3 linked regions of the Nothobranchius furzeri genome follow. The main gene of each other region encodes a partner of the protein of the gene in region 3 in a complex. Links are inferred from orthologs where the notes say so. Each region holds a gene or a part of one and is shown on either strand. Other genes may lie near its edges.

What was found. Proteins that work in one complex are often made in the same cells at the same time.
Region 1: stub1 (region 3) and bag3 share a complex: the UniProt entries of both Homo sapiens proteins name them as parts of the chaperone-assisted selective autophagy (CASA) complex. The link is inferred for Nothobranchius furzeri from reciprocal best matches to the Homo sapiens genes STUB1 and BAG3.
Region 2: the proteins of stub1 (region 3) and chic2 are in contact, whole or in part, in a crystal structure (PDB 8SUV), measured with the Homo sapiens proteins. The link is inferred for Nothobranchius furzeri from reciprocal best matches to the Homo sapiens genes STUB1 and CHIC2. Residues at the interface, in NP_005852.2 of Homo sapiens: Lys30, Asn34, Phe37, Tyr49, Val61, Asn65, Leu68, Leu71, Val94, Lys95, Phe98, Phe99, Gln102, Arg128, Asn130, Phe131, Gly132, Asp134, Ile135; in NP_036242.1 of Homo sapiens: Leu156, Pro157, Lys158, Thr159, Pro160, Ile161, Phe162, Arg163, Pro164, Asp165.

What each region holds. Positions count from the first base shown.
Region 1 is NC_091752.1:5,542,485-5,548,642, forward strand, and holds the start of bag3 (BAG family molecular chaperone regulator 3), read right to left. Parts: upstream 3,495-6,158; 5' UTR 3,467-3,494; coding exon 3,296-3,466; intron 1-3,295. Other genes in the region: tial1 (nucleolysin TIAR), read left to right, coding at 4,586-4,614, 4,968-5,064, 5,150-5,248, 5,330-5,384, 5,486-5,573. UniProt on the Homo sapiens protein: Co-chaperone and adapter protein that connects different classes of molecular chaperones including heat shock proteins 70 (HSP70s), e.g. HSPA1A/HSP70 or HSPA8/HSC70, and small heat shock proteins (sHSPs), e.g. HSPB8.
Region 2 is NC_091747.1:75,929,272-75,935,612, reverse strand, and holds the start of chic2 (cysteine-rich hydrophobic domain-containing protein 2), read right to left. Parts: upstream 3,495-6,341; 5' UTR 3,298-3,494; coding exon 3,167-3,297; intron 1-3,166.
Region 3 is NC_091756.1:32,258,813-32,265,049, reverse strand, and holds the start of stub1 (E3 ubiquitin-protein ligase CHIP), read left to right. Parts: upstream 1-2,543; 5' UTR 2,544-2,683; intron 2,684-3,350; 5' UTR 3,351-3,464; coding exon 3,465-3,578; intron 3,579-3,690; coding exon 3,691-3,889; intron 3,890-4,971; coding exon 4,972-5,137; intron 5,138-5,231; coding exon 5,232-5,307; intron 5,308-5,406; coding exon 5,407-5,463; intron 5,464-6,055; coding exon 6,056-6,172; intron 6,173-6,237. UniProt on the Homo sapiens protein: E3 ubiquitin-protein ligase which targets misfolded chaperone substrates towards proteasomal degradation.

The DNA.
Region 1 (6,158 bases), on a different chromosome or scaffold from region 3:
GTGATGAGACCAGTCACAAATGCTTTTTTAAAACTCTTTTTATTTCATTCAAAATTTATAAAATAAACACAAACAAATACATAAACGTAATGAAAAAAAAACATTTGAATGAAAACGAGCACATAACATTCACAATATAACCTTAGTCCCGTTCTACTGTTTATATATAATCATTGACATTTTAGTTTACCTTTTCATAATTACTTAATACATTTGATTTTATACATTTTTAAATATTTATAGCATGTGAGTTTGATTCTTTAATTTCTCTGTTAAGGGCGTTCCACAATCTTACACCATTTACAGAAATATTACATTCTGAATTCAGGTTTACATCAGACATCAGTCCCTTTTAACACGTACCCACTTACTCTCTTATGAAACATTTTCGGAATATTAGTTGGTAAATTACTCGTATTCGCTCTGTACATTATTTACAATATTTTCAAGTCAGGAAATTTCAGTATTTTATTTCTAATGGATAATGGATTAGAGGGATCTCTATAGTTACTGTTATGATTCTCAATGCGCTTTTTGTAAAATGAACAAAGGTTGAGTAAAAGTTTTGCATGTGGCTCCCCAAATTTCCAAACAATAAATTAAATATGGTTCAATCAGTGAGTGATACAACATTAATAACCCAGACCAACTTAGTAGAAACATGACTCTATAGAATACTGCTATGGCTTTGGCAACTTTCCCCTTTATATAACGTATAGGTGATTTCCAAGTGAGACTCTTAAAGAGATTGACTCGTTGTTCTTGAGCTTAAAGAGACAATGTGTAGTTTTTAATCATTCATTTCTGGAAATATCCATCAAAATGTCGTTAAATTAATGGAATGATGCCCAGTTGTTGAAAATGATTGACGGCTTTGTATAATAACCATAAAAATCAGGTCTAAAATACATGGGAGTGGGTCTAAGTCTCTGGGTGACTCCATATTAGATGTCAAGTTTCCTTCTAAGGGAGCCCGTGAGGACAAATTGCATTTACTGATTTGTAACAAACAGTTACAAAACTTTTGTCATTCTTAAATGTTGTTTTACACATTTACCTCTTCACTTGTTGCCACTGATTAAAGGGAGTCTGATGTGCTTGTCATTTTACTAAAGTTTGCACTCCCCAGGGCTTTTTGACCCTAATGAGCATCTGTCGCTTTCCGCAGCCGCTCGCTTCCGAACTCAATTTTTACTGGTACCCGCTCTACAACGGCTCCGCTCCGGTGCAGAGACCTGAGGTGCGCAAACAGGCATGCGCTGGATTTTCGAGATCTTGCGATACAGTCCGAGCAATAAATGCTCGTTGGAAGTTAGATCCAAACACCCGTTGTGTGGGGGAAGCATCGAAATGAACTGTTTAATCTGCCCATCATTTGTGTTGAGAGATCAGCAGTGTTTGGATCAACAAAGTGTGACTACTTTGATAGTAGAAACTGTATTTATGGCTTATGTTGTGCATTTAAAGTTCAACCGCCATTGATAGTTGTTAAAAGTTGTTAAACATGTGCATATGAAACAAAAAACGTTTTTTGTTTATCGATTTATTGTGAAATAACGGAAGTTGTGCTTGCTCCCTTTCCTGTTGGGCGATTGTGATTTCTGTCCTTTGACTGCGGAGGTGCTCCGGCGTCCGGCAAAAATAGAATCAATCCATTTTTGCCGGATGGCGGAACGGCTCACTGCGCCGCACGGCCGCAGTAGTGGAACAGCTCTGATTGACTACAACGGGACCGTTTTTGCTGCAGAGTTCGTGCCGGAGCGGAGATAGTGGAATTTTGGGGTTACTCAAACACAAAAATACTGCTTGCTTGCAACGATTTATGTATCTACTGCCCCCTATCGCCAGGAAAAATACACACCGTCTCTTTAATTGCAGTTGTTGCCTTCAAGAACAGTGGCGCCCCCAAGTGGTGGCCAGAGGGGGGCCTTGACCAATCCTGGAAAATTGCTGGCCACCTCAGAGCACTTCCACTCTCCAACCTCCTTTAATAAATCATATTTATGTTCAATATTTATGTTCACAAAACTATACATTAGTCTTCTTTAATAAAATGTAAAACCTTACAAATATAGAAATAAGTAAACAAATTAATATGTTGCTGCTGTGCACCATTTTCAAGAAGAAGTACAAATATCAATCTGTTTTGTAAAATGCATTCATTAAGACAGCGACAGATACATCCAGCTGTTCTAAACTACTAAAAAGTAAATGTTAAAGTATGAATAAATTAAATATTTGAAGTTTCTTATTTTCTCAAATATAACATTTCTGCTGCATATTTTTTAAGAATGGATGAGGATGCAGAGCACAGCTACAGGCTAAAAAACTCAAGAGTTACCAAGAGAACTAGTTTGATGTGCCACCCTTAAATTTTCCTTGGCCCCCCAATCTTGTCCCCCATGAAAATGTCCTGGTGCCGCCTCTGTCCAAGAGTGTTCAGAGTTATTGGTTAAGAGAACTTGAAGTCTTCATCTGAAAACTGCATTTTGTCTTTGCTGATCTGAAACATTTATGCGTGACAACAAAAAGAACAAAAGCAGAAGAAATCTGTAAAGGTGCAAATACTTTTTTTACATAAGCCTCAGAATGATCAAACACCAACACTGAAAGTGCCCCATGCAGCTGAGATAATAAAAAATAAATAAAATACAACTACAAGCAGGGCATTAATGTGTGAACTATTGATAATCCTCCAGCAAAAGTTGAGAAATAGCCGTGAACGACCCTTTGCCCTCTGCCTGGTCCAATGCACCAATTTTATCCCTCAACAGCTGTGTCTTTCTAGCAGATTCCTCAGGACACTAACTTTGGAAAACAGTGTCTGTCCCTATGAAGAAAGATTACCCAGCTGGCAGCCTGTGGAGCTCACGTCAGCCCACGGATTTGATTACAGACCTGTAGATTTCTACATTTCCACATCTAAACAACCAGATTCAATATCCTAAATGGAATGGGACCCAACTGCATTTTATTTTGTGGGTAAAAAAGTTTATAATGAGTTTTCCACCTAAATTAACGCTGGTATCAGAAAGCCTTGACACTCGGCAGTGAGTCATCGGGTAATAATAGTGTTAGATCATGACTCGGGAACATAACGGGGCTGATCACCCGTTTTATTAGGCTTATGAGCAGTCAGTGAGGGGGAGGCGACGGGACCTAACAAGGCCTACAGTCAACAAGATTAACACAAAACAGCCATGTAGCGTAGCGACTCCAGCAGCTTAACACAATCCGTAACCGACGCAGCACCCTACGGAAACCCGTTGAAACAACTTTATCCCGCCTCCGTTACCTTTTTGGTGTCGTGTCTCGGGTCATTCCAGGTTGTCGTCCGGTTGTTGTGATCCACGAAAAAGGGCCATCCAGTGTGAGGGTCGATTTTGACTTCCCATCCGAGGGGGAGCTGGTCGATGTCATTATCAGCCATCACAAGTGTCGGAGAGTGCGTCTTCACTGCGTTCATGGCGAGTACTGAGACATTTTTTATGGGCGGCGGTCCCTTTAAAGATTCCTGCGAGTGACGTAGGAAAGTGGGCTGGAAGTTTCTCGAAATAGCGGGGTTAATGTCGGGGGCGGCGGACCGCGCTGGAAGCAGCGGCATGGCGGCTACTTCTTGTGTCGCAGACACCCCCCAACAAAAGACACTACATTAATTTAGTTATAGTTGGTGTTTACAGAGAGCAGCTATTACCAGCTCTACTTTAATAACAACCCCAGAATCACGTAATAACCCTGAAACCTTCTCACTCACGCATGCGCAAATCTATTAGACCTGGGGTTTGAACAGCAGTTTTTCCCCTCAATCCAATTTGCTTAGAGATGCAACTGCTAAACCTGTTTATGCGTCTGCATCGGTGCGGAGACACAAAACGCCAGGAACTTGAAACAAATATGATTTATCGTTCTGATAAATATCTACGGAGGAGAATTAAGGCCACTGATAAAAAGTTATTTTCTCAGATTTCTTAGATTGTAAGAATTATGAGAAAGGGTAGAATATTGGCTCCTTTCTGAGATTAAAATTAGAAATATGTATGTCATCTAGTCTGTTATAAAATGTGTGTCATTTTTGTGAGGAAAAGAACCCCATCTTGTTTCTATTATCAAGTTTAAAAATTCGGAAAACCTTGTGAAAAATGAGTACCGATGCTTGTTTTGTTCGAGTCCAAATCGTGAAAACCTCGAAATACAAAACGAGCGTACCCATGTAATGGACTTCAAAATAAAAGCCTTTTACGTAAATTGCGTTGCTTTCGAAAAGCAAGAGGGAAATAAGTCATTATATTCTCTGAATCAACTGTTTTATTCAATTAATTTCTATTTACACACGGTGAATTCAACTTACAGAATAAAATTAAGCCATTTATAGCTTCGAACTAAAGGTTGACCCAGACCCTTTGGGTTGACCTTTCGGTGCTCATGCGCAGGCGCAGTTAGCACACTCAGCGTGACGTAAGAAACGTTGCCCGGTTAGCTTTCTAAGCTAGTTAGCTCGTTGTTTACAGCGTTTATCTCTCAGTCTACGTCCTTTAATTACCAAATAGTTTATATTTTTTCTACGACGTCACGTTCAGTGTTGGTCATGGACGACGAAAGTTACCCCAGAACCCTGTAAGTATTTTTAGTGTTTTCGTGGTAGCTAGCTTTCGTTTGGTTTCTCATACGCAGCGGCTAACTGAGCTACATGTCCAAAAAACAAGTGTAGACAACGTTCAATATTAAGTGTTAATTTACGTTTTTAATTAGTAGGCGTTCAAAAACACGTATATTTCGACGATTAAAAAAAACGTTAGTTCAGATGAGGGATTACCTTAAACAGTTTCACATTGGAAACGAGGATATTTATATAACGTTAGCTGGTAGTGTCCTCTACATCATGATCTGTGATATATAAATCATAAATTACTGTAGGTCTGAATCTGAATTAAACCTCGTCTACATTTTAAACTTCCTCTTCATTGCAGGTACGTGGGAAACCTCTCCTGGGACGTTACAGAGGTTTTGATTTTACAACTCTTCTCCCAGATTGGACCGTGTAAAAGCTGCAAAATGATCACAGAGGTAAAACTACCCGTTATCTTTTATGGTAATGTATATCCTAGCCCTAAAAACAAATCCATCACTAAACTGTTTCATGTTGCTGCAGCACACAAGCAATGACCCGTATTGTTTTGTGGAGTTTTTCGAGCACAAAGATGCTGCTGCTGCCCTTGCAGCCATGAATGGGAGAAAAATCCTTGGAAAGGTAAGAGTTCCCGTCATTTTCTCCCCCCCATAGTTTTAATATGTTTCTGTATATTAATTGCTTGTCACTGTTTTTAAATAGGAGGTTAAGGTTAATTGGGCCACAACACCTAGTAGCCAGAAGAAAGACACATCCAGTAAGCCTTCACAATTTCACTGGTTTATTTTAATCTAATTAAAAAGTTAAACAAGGATTGTAAGCATTTTTTAATTTTTACGTTTTAAAAATTTGTTTTAGATCACTTCCATGTTTTTGTGGGTGATTTGAATCCTGAGATTACCACCGAAGACGTCAGAGCTGCATTTTCACCCTTTGGGAAAATCTCGTGAGTTTTTCATATTATTGTCATTGTTGCTGTTCAAATACAGTATAAAAATAAATCTTCTTCAGTGTTATATTTATTTATTTTAGCCTTGTAATAGGCTGATCCTCATCTAATAGCCCATTCTCATCACATTCACTTACAACTATGTTTACATGCATTTTTTTAGGGTTATTGACTTAGCTGTGAAAGATGGACCGACTTTATTTTCTGTTTTCAAATAATAAAAGAGTTTTCTTCATCAGGGCAAAAAAGTCTCACTCAAAACAATAAAAACAAGTAAATGAATGATAAATGACCTGCACTTGCATAGCGCCTTTCAGAGTCTGAAGACTCCAAAGTGCTTTACACTGCAGTGTATCATTCATCCGTTCACACACACATTCTTACACTAGTAGGGATGAGCTACATTGTAGCCACAGCTGCCCTGGGGCTCTCTGACAGAGGTGAGGCTGTTGAGCTCAGACGCCACCAGTCCCTCCAACCACCACCAGCAGGCAAGGTGAGGCCTGCTGAACACTGTCACCGCCGGCCGCTGCAGGGGCAACAGAATTCTCTGTCCAGAGCCGGGATCAAACATGCAACCTT
Region 2 (6,341 bases), on a different chromosome or scaffold from region 3:
GTGTGTGTGTGTGTGTGTGTGTGTGGTTTTTATGCAGCGTCTGTTTACGAACACATTTGAATATTGTGGAATTGTATTTTGAAATGCTTTATTTTGTTAAATTTACCGGCCTGCCTCTTATGTCTAGGTTTGACTTCCTGCCAGAATTGACGCGGTTCACCCGCGGCTTGCGAAAAAAATAGAGCAGACGCCGAAACGATCGCTGCACGGCGCAGGCTGGAGCGCAGACGTGCGCGGGAACGTGCCGGGGCGCTTCAGCGGCCCATGTGGTCTATAGAATAGGATAACAAGGGCGCCGAATGAAGGCGGTCCCCTTTTCGCGGCTCTTCGGCAGCCGGTGTGTCCCCGGCGTCAGTCGCTTAGGAAAAAAGTGTCTGCTAAACACATAAACATGAGGTATATGAACCACAATAGAGAGATTTCCATTTCCATGGTGGAAACAAAACCCATTGCACATTGCTGCCAACTAGTGGTTGGCGTTTGAACTGCACCAAAAGAAAAGAAAATACACAAATGTTTGCAAGTAAATTCTTCCAAAAGTTAGATACATGGCTTTTGAATATCACTGTAATGTCAAAAGAAAAAATATCACGATATACGTGAAAATCCAGCACCGAGTTTATTTTTCTCAATTTAGGTTTTATGATTCAGTAGCTTACTTTTAACACCTTTCACAATCTTGTAGCGTCTTTGGTTTTATTTGTGCCATTTCAAATGTTTTTTATCATTCATCGCATTAATTTTTATTTTTGATAGTGCAGTTAACTGCTCTCTTATTCTATTGTTTTTAGTAGGAATATTTATCCCTGATTATTTATGCTATGTTTTTATGTATTTTACCTGATTTTCATGCTTTCATTGTGCTTTGTTGATTTGTTCAAGCATTTGGCTCTTTTCTGTACAGCAGGTTGGTTAGCTGCCATGCTATTTTGAAATGGTGCTTTATAAATAAATTGGTATGGTATGGCATTGTTATATCGATATTTTCTTACATCCCTTTTAAAGCTGCTTTCTGGAGTTTTCCGCTTTCAGAAATGATGTATGATTTTTCAGAAATCCATAAAAGCGGTTGTCTCATCATGTACTGTGATAAAATGTAAGCAATGTGTCTTTTATTTATTTATTTATCTTTGCCAAGCACGCCCCCTGCCCCGCAGAGCTCCGTGCAATAGGAAACTGAGTGCCGATCAGAACTAACCAACAGCGTTAGACTACCTCTTACTTGCATCAAATTTAAGGAATACCTCGGCTGATGCAGAGATGATGAACTTTCCATGGACAAGTAAGTCTCTAAAATATAAATATATGAGAACACAACATGACATGAGAATAATACTCGTAAAACAACGTGTTTTAGATCTGTTTGTCGGCTACAGATGCACATTTATACGTGAAGTTGCGATCTTAAACAGAGCAACAGATTTTTTTGTGTGATATGCTTGTGAGCCACTAGATGGAGCCATCGGATAAGAGAAATACTCCGGAAAGAAGTTTTACGAGTTAAACTGAAAACCTACAGATAAAGTGAAATAAGCTCAACACGGCATAGCTGATCATACGATTACGGTTTAGTTTGCTTTAAACAGCAGGATGAAGGTTCATGTGATTCTAAATTTGTAACTAAAAGAGAAAATGACAAGAACAAGATCAGCTGATTCACAAACCAGTTCACAGCATAGCCTCTGCTTTTATACAATATGTAAACATAACAGAGATTATGTTAGGGATTATATAACTGAAATATTGTGATATTCTGTTTTATGATACTGAATCAATAATTAAATGCTGTGTATCGATTTCTACTGAGAATTTACATGCAAACATTTACTGTAATTTGTTTGTGTGGCGTAGTTCACTCCGTCTGCTAGGTGGCAGCAGTTTTTAACCGCCTACATTCTGATGGAACAAGATGTTGCGATAACACTGGATGTGTCTTGGGTGAGTTTTCTACTTAAATTCAGTCTTGATCTGGCTTTTAGTACCGCATTATGTTGTTTCTGGTGGTGTGAAGTATATTCTTTTGCCACATTCGATACACAGCTGATCTCTTCATTTAAACAGGAACAAAACAAGCAGACAAGTTATCTTTTCTCCATCTCGGGTTATTGCAATCTTTGTTCAGATGTTTAACTTCACTTATTTACAAGTTTTTCTTTTCATACAGTGTTGCATTATTTTTCCACCAAGACCTTGAGAGTCCAACCGCTGCACAAAGCCTTTTCTGGCATACCCCAGAGACTCAGTGATGTTATAGTCTGGGCTCTGCGGTGGACGATCCATGTGTCTCGTGCTCCCTGAACCACTCTTCCACAGTTTGAGACTGATGGCTCCTGGCACTGTTATCTGGGAACATGCCATCAGGGAAGAAAAACCCCACTGATGGATTAATCTGATTATTCAGTAAGTTCAGCAGACCTCATTCTTGGGGCACATGATGTTGCTGAACCTAGGCCTGACCAACTGCACTGATTCTAGATCTGAAATCCAGAGGGCGGCTTATTTTTGGACAAAAAAGTTGGCAGCAAATTGGTGAAAAGGCACCTTAAAGTAACCTTGAGACCACTTCAAAAAGCCTGGAGATACTGACTATACATCTAGAAAGGGTTGGCAGAATGTTTAAGATATTTGAAAGAAAATAAATAATTTAGGCCAGGTTTTAAACTCTTGCAGCATAAAAAGGTACATTTTAGATGCTTCAGAATATCTACACCAAGAAGATGGAGCAGCTTGGGTGAACAGTATCATCTAGTATTTTTTATGTGTAAACCGTCTAAACTCGAAAAAGTCTGACCGGAAGAGACAAGATTCGGGAAACTGAGTCCAGCTGTTACATATGAGGAATGAAACGGACGTTAGTAAATATAGTTAACCACAGTAACTTTGTTTTTATAATTAAAAAACAATGCTGAATGCTCGACAAAGAGTGCCGTTGGTATCAACAGCGGGCTGACTTGTCAGTGGCTAAAATAACACAATTATTATGGTGAATTCACGATGAGAAAACAAAACAAACTCTTCACCGCCGTCCTCTAACTGCTCACTGTAGCCAGTTGTTAGCAGCTAGCTAACTCGGCTAAGTCACCAGCTAGTCCGCAAGTTTCCCCTCACACCCCGACAAGTTGTCTTTTACCGGGAACGATCCCCGCCAGTCCCGCCGGTAGCTTACACAGTAGCGTGGCCGGAGCCTCGCACCACCACCGGGTCCGGAGCATACTTGAGGAGCTGCTCTTCCGCGGCCCTGTCCTCGTCCTCTTCTTCTTCCTCCTCTTCGTAGATCTCATCAAAGTCCTCCATCATCTCCCGACTCGATCTCACCCCGGTAAAGACACCGGGAGAGAAACGACACCGAGAACCACGGAAACCTCTCAGAGAAACGCGCACTGAACAGAGAGGATGACCACAAAAATATCAAGTAGCTCCCATCGCTGTCCGAGGCGAGCTACTAACAAAACATCAACATCCGCCGCAGTAGCTGTACGACACCGGAAGTGGGACCGACGTCCTTACGTCTTTTTGTTTGTAGTTTCTATCATAGTCACTCAAATAAATTGTTACTTAGTTTTTGTTTCCTTTTTCTGAATTTGACACACACACACACATAAAGAAAAAAAAATTATTAATGAATATAACCATATTCGCCTGAATCCAGACTAACAGAAATAAAGAGCTTAAAAATAAATAAACATGGCAAAAAATATATCATAATAAATAAGGCAAGGGGAAAAAATGGTAAAAATAGAATAAAATCACATTTTCATTTTGGTTTTCTACTCTTAAAAATTCTATTCGTCTTTTGTTCCTTTTTTATTTCATTTGTTAAAAACATGTTTACCTCATTCTCATTTCTTTCTTGGTGATAGTTGTACTTGTTTTTTGGAAATTCACTTTCGGATGTTTTTTTATAGATATAATATATTTGATTAGAAATTACACACGCCTGCTGATAAAACGTTATAACTAAATTAGTTTATTCAATATTACCTACTACTCCTTGAACCGTCACCTTATCGTGGTGGAGGAGTTTCAGTGCCCTAATGATCCTAGGAGCTATGTTGTCTGTGGCACTTTGTGCCCCTGGTAGGGTCTCCCATGACAAATTGGTCTTAGGTGAAGGGTGAGACAAAGAAAGGTTCAAAGGATCTTTCATGGATGTAAATTCAAAGAGTCGGAGTACCCGGCCCGGAGGGTTAACTTACCGGGGTCCCACCCTGGAGCCAGGCCTGGGGTTGAGGCCCGTGAGCGAACGCTTGGTGGCCGGGCTTTCGCCCATGGGGCCTGACCGGGCCCAGCCCGAACCGGATACATGGGCTCATCCAACTGTGGACCCACCACCTGCAGGAGGAGCATGAAGGGTCCGGTGCAGTGTGGATCGGGTGACAGACCAAGGTGGGAGCCTTGGTGGTCCGATCCCCGGACAAGGAAACTGGACTTTGGGACATGGAACGTCACCTCACTGGCGGGGAAGGAGCAGGAGCTTGTGGCAGAGGTTGAGCGGTACCGGCTAGATATAGTCGGACTCACCTCGACACATAGCATTGGCTCTGGAACCCAAGTCCTTGAGAGGGGTGGGACACTCTCCTTTGCTGGAGTTGCACCCGGGTGAGAGGCGGAGGGCTGGGGTTGGCTTTTTGTTAACCCCAAGTCTCTCTGCCTGTGTGTTGGGGTTTACCCTGGGGGATGAGAAGGTAGCTTCCCTGTGCCTTCGGGTCGGGGAACGGGTCCTGACTGTTGTTTGTGCTTATGGGCCAAATATCAGTTCAGAGTACCCACCCTTTTTGGAGTCCCTGGGACGAGTGCTAGATAGTGCTCCATCAGGGGACTCCATTGTCCTGCTGGGGGACTTCAATGCTCACGTGGGCAATGACATCTTGACCTGGAGGGGTGTGATTGGGAGGAACGGCCCACCTAATCTGAACTCGAGCGGTGTTTTGTTATTGGACTTCTGTGCAAGCCGCAGTTTGGCCATAACGAACACCATGTTCGAACATAAGGATGCCCACCGGTACACTTGGTACCAGGGCAGCCAAGGTCGCAGGTCAATGATAGACTTTGTAGTCATATCATCTGACCTGCGGCCGTATGTTTAGGACACCGGAGTGAAGAGAGGAGCAGAGCTGACAACTGATCACCACCTGGTGGTGAGTTGGATCAGATGGCAGGGGAAGATGCCGTGTAGACCTGGCAGACCCAAACGCATAGTGAGGGTCTGCTGGGAACGCCTGGCAGAAGAACCTGTTAAGACGGTCTTCAACTCCCACCTCCGGCAGAGCTTTGACCGCGTCCCGAGAGCAGTGGGGGACATTTACCCAGAGTGGGCCTTGTTCCACTCTGCGATTGTTGAGGCGGCTGTTGCTAGCTGTGGTCGCAAGGTGGCCGGTGCCAGTCGTGGTGGCAACCCCCGTACCCGCTGGTGGACACTAGAGGTTCAGGGAGCCGTCAGGCTGAAGAAGGAGGCCTACAGGGCGTGGCTGGTCTGTAGGTCTCCGAAGGCAGCAGACAGGTACCCGATAGCCAAGCGAGGAGTTTGGTGAGGTCATGGAGAAAGTCTATCGATCGGCTCCAAAGAGTTTCTGGCAAACTGTCCGGCACCTCAGGAGAAGGAGGCAGCAACTCGCTCACACTGTTTACAGTGGGGATGGGGAGTTGCTGATGTCAACTGGGGCTATAGTCGGACGGTGGAAGGAATATTTGAGGAGAACCTCAATCCCACCTATGCGCATTCCGAGGAGGAACCAGAGCCGGGGGACCTGGGGATGGACTGTCCAATCTTGGGGGCAGAAGTTGCTGAGGTAGTCAAACAACTACACAGCGGTGGAGCCCCGGGAGCGGATGAGGTTCGTCCTGGGTATCTCAAGGCTATGGATGTTGTAGGGCTGTCATGGTTGACACGTCTCTGCAACATTGCGTGGTCATCGGGGGCAGTTCCTGTGGAGTGGCAGACCGGGGTGGTGGTCCCCATCTTTAAGAAGGGTGACCTGAGGGTGTGTTCCAACTATAGGGGGATCACACTCCTCAACATCCCTGGAAAGGTCTACTCCAAGGTACTGGAGAGGAGGGTCCGATCGATAGTTGAATCTCAGATTGAGGAGGAGCAATGTGGTTTTGGTCCTGGCCGTGGAACTGTGGACCAGCTCTATACCCTTGCAAGGGTGATGGAGGGGGCATGGGAGTTTGCCCAACCAATCCACATGTGTTTTGTGGATTTGGAGAAGGCTTATGACCCTGTCTCCAGGGGCACCCTGTGGGGGACGCTCCAGGAGTATGGGGTGGGTGGCTTTCTGTTAAGGGCCATTCAGTCCCTTTACCAGAGGAGCGTGAGTTTGGTCCGCATAGCCGGTAGT
Region 3 (6,237 bases):
ACAACTACACTGGCAGAAAGAAAGACAAGGCTCCATCAGGAAGTGGCAGCTTTTTAGCCCTGCCAACGGAGTCAAGAAACTTCCTAGCCTGGTTGCCTTGGTTACTGGAAGCTCAGCCAGCTGGTGCAGCCGTTGGGTTTGATAGAGGACAGAGGAGGATGGCGGTTGTGATGGTGGACAGGAGGAGTCCAGCATTTAAATGTAAGCAGTTGGTAAAAACGTTTAAAAATGAAACTTACCCCAAACAACCCCAATCTCTTCTTTTTGCACATCTCTCTGAAGAGAAAAACAGCTGAAGAATGATTCTGAAACACTTTTCTAATCACTTTTACTAATTCTAATCCTTCGATCATTCTTTATTTGTTGTTTTTAGCGGTTGAAGATTACAATAATAGCTTTCTTCCTCCTCTCCAAGCGTATGTGCTGCTGTAACGAGTGATTTTCCCTACTGGGATTAATAAAGTCTATTCTGTTCTAATAAAAAGTTCCTCCAATGTTGCGGAACATAAACTTTCAGTCCACTATTTGAATTCTTCGATCCATACATTTTCAGGAAAGTGCAGCATCTTGTGTTTCTGATCACTAATGAAACACAAAACAATTGAACTAAACCAAATGAAAAACATGCCAGAGATGTGCAAGCATCCCAAAGAGTCCTCTGCTAAGGTGATAATTTGCATGAAACAATTTTCCCATCATCCTTAAAAGGACTGTTTATCCTAGCAGCTTAATATGTGTTTTATATTGCACCCACCCTATAGATGCCACAGAAGGCTTTAGCATTCCTCAGACTTACAGATTAGTTGAGCTGGTGGGTGTTCTGGAGGATCAACACACCAAGCTGGTGGAGATCGGTAAACACAGCTGGGGACACTCACTGCTGCTAGGTCTGCAGCTCAGTTGGACCCCCCCTCTTTAACACATCTATATGTGTGTTTGCTCTGGGGATGTGTCCTAATCTTCACACAGGCTGGGATGAAAGTGACCCTGTCCAAAATCATTGTCTTGCTAGTTTCTCTGTTGCTAAACTTGAAAGATCTTAGTTATAAAGGTCGTCTGTAGGTCTCCCTGTGGGTGGGATGTCTCTGAGATACTTTATGATAAAGTCTTGAACATTACCCAACCCCTCCCTGAAGATGTCATCCACGACTGAACAAAGTGATGACCTGTTTCTAACAGACTTCTACTACTTTGGCAAAGGGTTAGAGGTGCGTTTGTGAATATTAGGACCAATCTTAATATTTTGATTTAATTATTCAAAAGTTTACATCACTGAAGCCTCAAAAGATCTTGGCATCCATGAAATAAGTTAATAGAGACCTGTTGTCCTTCTCTGCTGTTGCAGGTCTCTACACAGTTAGACGTTTTCAATTTTGATGTTCAAGTAATTTTGCAGCACAGAGCGCCCTCTGCTGGTGAAGCTTCAGATCAAAGTAGGACAAGCCGTGATTAAAAAAAAAGTAATTTGTGTGTGTGTGTGTGTGTGTGTGTGTGTGTGTGTGTGTGTGTGTGTGTGTGTGTGTGTGTGTGTGTGTGTGTGTGTGTGTGTGTGTGTGTGTGTGTGTGTGCTTTGCTTTGCTTTATGGTATTATAAGATAATAAAAATTTTAATTTGACACACAGACTCTAATTTAAATAAAGTTTAAGTTAAACTTTGAAATCCACAAAGAGAATGTTGGCTTCGACTTAAATATGTAAACAAAACAAAAAAACAAGTCTACCAAAATAACAGCAGCAAACAAAGATCCTGGATATCATTTCATAACAAGAATATGTGAGTCTGTTTGATCATTCATCATTGATCAACATGCCAGGAGAATCCTGAAAGGAATGTTGATAAATGATCCACGTTTTAACAGATTTGTACAAAGTTGCCATCAAAGGGTATATGAATGTAATCCACATTTTATTTTGGTAGGATTATTGCATTTTCTGACACTCTGACATAGCATCCTACCTGAATATGAATTTGAAACCACTGCATTAGGATTTGTACATAACTATTTGATTTAATGCTAAATTAGTAAATAAAGATAATTAAAAAATATAAAAAGATGTTCAGTACAACAGTAGATGCACACGTTTTTTTACCTTTATTGTCAATTAATAGTTGACCTCAAAACCTATTATGTATGAATATGTAAAATGTGTTTTGGAATTACTAATACTTTTGAATAGCTTGAATCTATGTCTACATGTGATAAAAAATAATGACTAAATAACTCACATGCCATCTTAATAAATTTGTCTAAATGTTACGTATTAACACGTAAATGTACAAAAATAAATGATACTTAAAAATGGTGTTTAAATAGCTACAAAATAATAATTAAGACAATTATTTAATAAAATAAAGTATACTCAAAATACTAAACGTTATTTACTGCATTTCACAAACAAATGAAATTGTTGGTAAGTCTTTCTATACATAAAACATTTTTTGTTTTATTCTAAATGAAAGATTAGGAGGTAATAACTGATACATAGTTTCAGTTATTTGCTTTTTATTTCATCGCACTAATTGTGTCCTTTCGGCTTCCGTTGGAGTAACGTAAAAAAGCCCTTTACGTCAGCATAACAACAACTTGTCATGAGAGCTCGTACGGGGAAAATCAATACTTAAAGACTGTATATCAAAATAAATGAAGTCACAATCATCTGGATGTAAGATTTATCATTAAAGGTAAGAGTTGGAAACGGTAGGCTTTAACAACGAACTCAGTTTAAACCAGAAACAGGGGAGGCTTTGGGCTAACAGGCTAATTTTAGCATTAGCTAAAGATTTTTTTACTTATCGCTTAGCCGGGTCTTGGTGTACTATATTATTAACGACAGTGTCCGGCTGAGAATAGTTTGGGATCAAACGTGGCATTTATTGTTCATTTGATGAATTCAGTGAGTTTAACTAGAGCTGAATGAGCGGAATCCTTTAGCAACCCCCGGTGAAAACCGACCACGTAGCCTAGCTTACTAGGCATAGCAGCGATCTCTGGTCTCACTAAAGTTGTGAATTTTTTCGTCTGAGAACATTTTCTTCCACAGCAGCTAGCCTCCAACTGTTCCTGCGCAAGCGAGTGATCTGTTTGGAGGTGTCGGTCGTCACCTTTCGGCTACCTCTGGTGTAAAGTTACCCTGACTTAATACTCAAAGCGGTGCTCATTGCAGATTGCAGCCCACGCCGATGTCCGTCATATGAATAGTTAATTCAGTCTAGGCACCTAGCTGTGTTTTTCAGCGGCAGTGCGCGCAGTCAGCAAATCAAACCTTTTGGGTGGCATCGAGCAGCATTGCACCTAAAAGACGCGCATTGCAGCTGCAGTGCAGTAAACCCTGTGGTGTCTGCTCTGTAGAGCGCGATCCAGGACGGACTGGTCATTTTGAACTCTGACGTCTGGCCAGCCGAAGAGACGGGGAACAGGATTGGGAAGCAGGGCGAGGCGGGCCCCGCGGAGCCGGTGGAGAAGATGGCCGGCAGCCCGGAGAAGAGTTCCACCGCGCAGGAGTTGAAGGAGCAGGGGAACAGGCTGTTCCTCTGCCGCAAGTACCAGGAGGCTGCAACCTGCTACAGCAAAGCTATTGTGAGTGGCACTAAGGATGTCTGAGTCTTAAGTCATCTAAGCTGGAAGAATACAAATGTTTCTGATTACAGATAATTCATTAACACACTTTCTGGTTTATTTTGTCCCACAGAACCGTAATCCATCAGTGGCTGTATACTACACCAACAGGGCCCTCTGCCATGTAAAGCTGCAGCAGTATGACAAGGCTCTGGCTGACTGCAAGCATGCTCTGGAGCTGGACAGCCAGTCCGTTAAGGCACACTTCTTCCTGGGTCAGTGTCACCTGGAGCTGGAGAACTACGACGAGGCTATTGGAAACCTGCAGAAAGGTTTGAGGAAGTCCTTAAAGAGGATGTAAACATGGCTGAGTTTTGCGTCATTTGGGGGGAAAAGTTCGTCTCACAAGTTCCTTCATTTTTCTTTCATAATTCCTTTTAGATTGAAGTTTTTGTATTGTCATCCTTTTATGTAGTTGTTTTCTCGTCCCCATTGTCTTCAGCAATCTTTAAAAGTTCTATTCCATGTCTACATCAATGTTGTGTAGATAAATTAATGACTTGTTGTGTAACATTTCAGAAAAGTCCGTTTTTTTCACAGTTCAACATGACCCTTAAATGTTGTAATACAATCTCCAGTAATTTCTGCCTATTTTAAATACCAGAAAGCTGATGTTTAAGTGCTGCTGGCTGACAGACTCACACTGTTCAGTCCGTGTGTTTTACTCATTTATATCTTTGAATGTTGCTGACAAGTCTCCAGACAAGTTCTTCAAACAAGCAGATCACACAGAGCATTAAACCCAATGTGCAACAGTTATTTGTTTTTTTTTACTAAAGCAGCGGAGTCCAATCCTGGTTCTGGAGTGCCGGTATCCAGCACGTTTTAGCTGTGTCCCTGCTCCAACACACTTAATCAGCAGCTCATCAAGGTCTTCAGAAGCCTGTTAATCACCTGCTGAGTGAAATCAGATGTGTTGGAGCAGGGAAACAACTAAAACATGCTGGATACCGGCTGACTTCAAAACTCATGGATAAGTCTAAAACCATAACACAACACGAGGGTCAGATTTATGCTTTCTATTATAAATGTATAGTTTACAGGCCAAACCAGAGCAATCAGAGGCTGGTTACCTGGTGGGTGCTGATGGACTGAGTCAGTGTCTCCAGTCTGCGTCATAATGATAGAGAAAGCTTGGTCATGTGTAGCTGCAGGTGCAAAATCTCTATCTTCTAACTACAACCTAACCTACCATTTCAGAGCGTTGGGAAATTGTTAAGCAGCCACAGCACCAGCTCTTCTGCAGCAGCATGGAATTGATAGAAAATTGATTTAAAGACTGTTTAGATGTTCTTTTTGACCGTTTTCCAAACTTCCAAGTTTTAACTAATGTGACTTATTTATTTGTTTATAGCGTATAACCTGGCAAAAGAGCAGAGGCTGAACTTTGGAGACGACATCCCCAGTGCGTTACGCATCGCCAAGAAAAAACGTTGGAACAGCATCGAGGAGAAGCGCATCAACCAGGAGAACGAGCTGCACGCCTACCTGACCAAACTCATCCTGGCTGAGAAGGAGAGGTCAGATGGGATTTTTCTGAAATACATTCTGGCACGCTGTGCTCCAGGTGGTTTAGATTTAGTGATATAACGTGGCGTTTACTATTTTTCATAGAGAACTTGAAGAATACAGAGAAAAACAGGATGACAATCAAAGCGGAGGAGATGCAGCAAAGATTTCATCAAAACACGTTGGGTTTTGCCCTGATTTTCACACTTTTTACTGACCAAAATATGCGTTGATGTTAATTTTGGGACATTTTCATTACATGTAAACGTGACCTGCTAAGGACAAGTATTTAATGGACATGGACGAGCTGTTCTCCCAAGTGGACGAGAAAAGAAAAGTGAGTTGACAAGTTGTTAATTTTTTGTTGTTTATTTCATTTAATTCATATTTAAATACTTTAAATAATCTAACAGAGAAACAGTGTGTGTCTCCCCCCCCCCCCTCCCCCATTTTTGTAGTTGGCATAAGAGCAGCAAATATACTTGATTCTTCAGATCTGACTTGAGATCTGTTTTATTTAAGTCTATCTTTTGCGGTTATTTTATTTTTATACAACCTCAGTAACTTCACTGACAGATGAGATCGCATGAAATAAGATGGTTGTTTTAATTTTAGCGCAAGCTGTTTCTATGACGACTGTTACTTGCTGTTTGCCAAGTTTCTTGCCAGAGCTGGTTGTTTATATTGAGGTTGTAGTCGTATAAGGGAGGATGGAACTGGCCTTGAAATTAGAATAAGATGTATCAATCTGTTATGTGTTTGCTTAATATCGTATTAGGATGATCGTTGAGGCTTTTTAGGAGGAAGTGACATCAGTGTGGTTGCTAAGCAGCAGCTTGTTGATGACCTGGACCCTGTTAGACCAGAATAAATCATCTAATTGTATAGAAACCCTGATTGTTTAGAGTTTCCTCTTTTCCTGATTCCAGAAGCGAGAGATTCCAGATTATCTTTGTGGGAAAATCAGTTTTGAGTTGATGAGGGAGCCCTGCATCACACCCAGCGGGATCACTTATGACCGCAAGGACATAGAAGAGCATCTACAGGTAAACAGTTTCAGGTCTGCTGGTAGTTGGTGACTTGTTTTATTTGATTGTTTTTTTTTTTATCT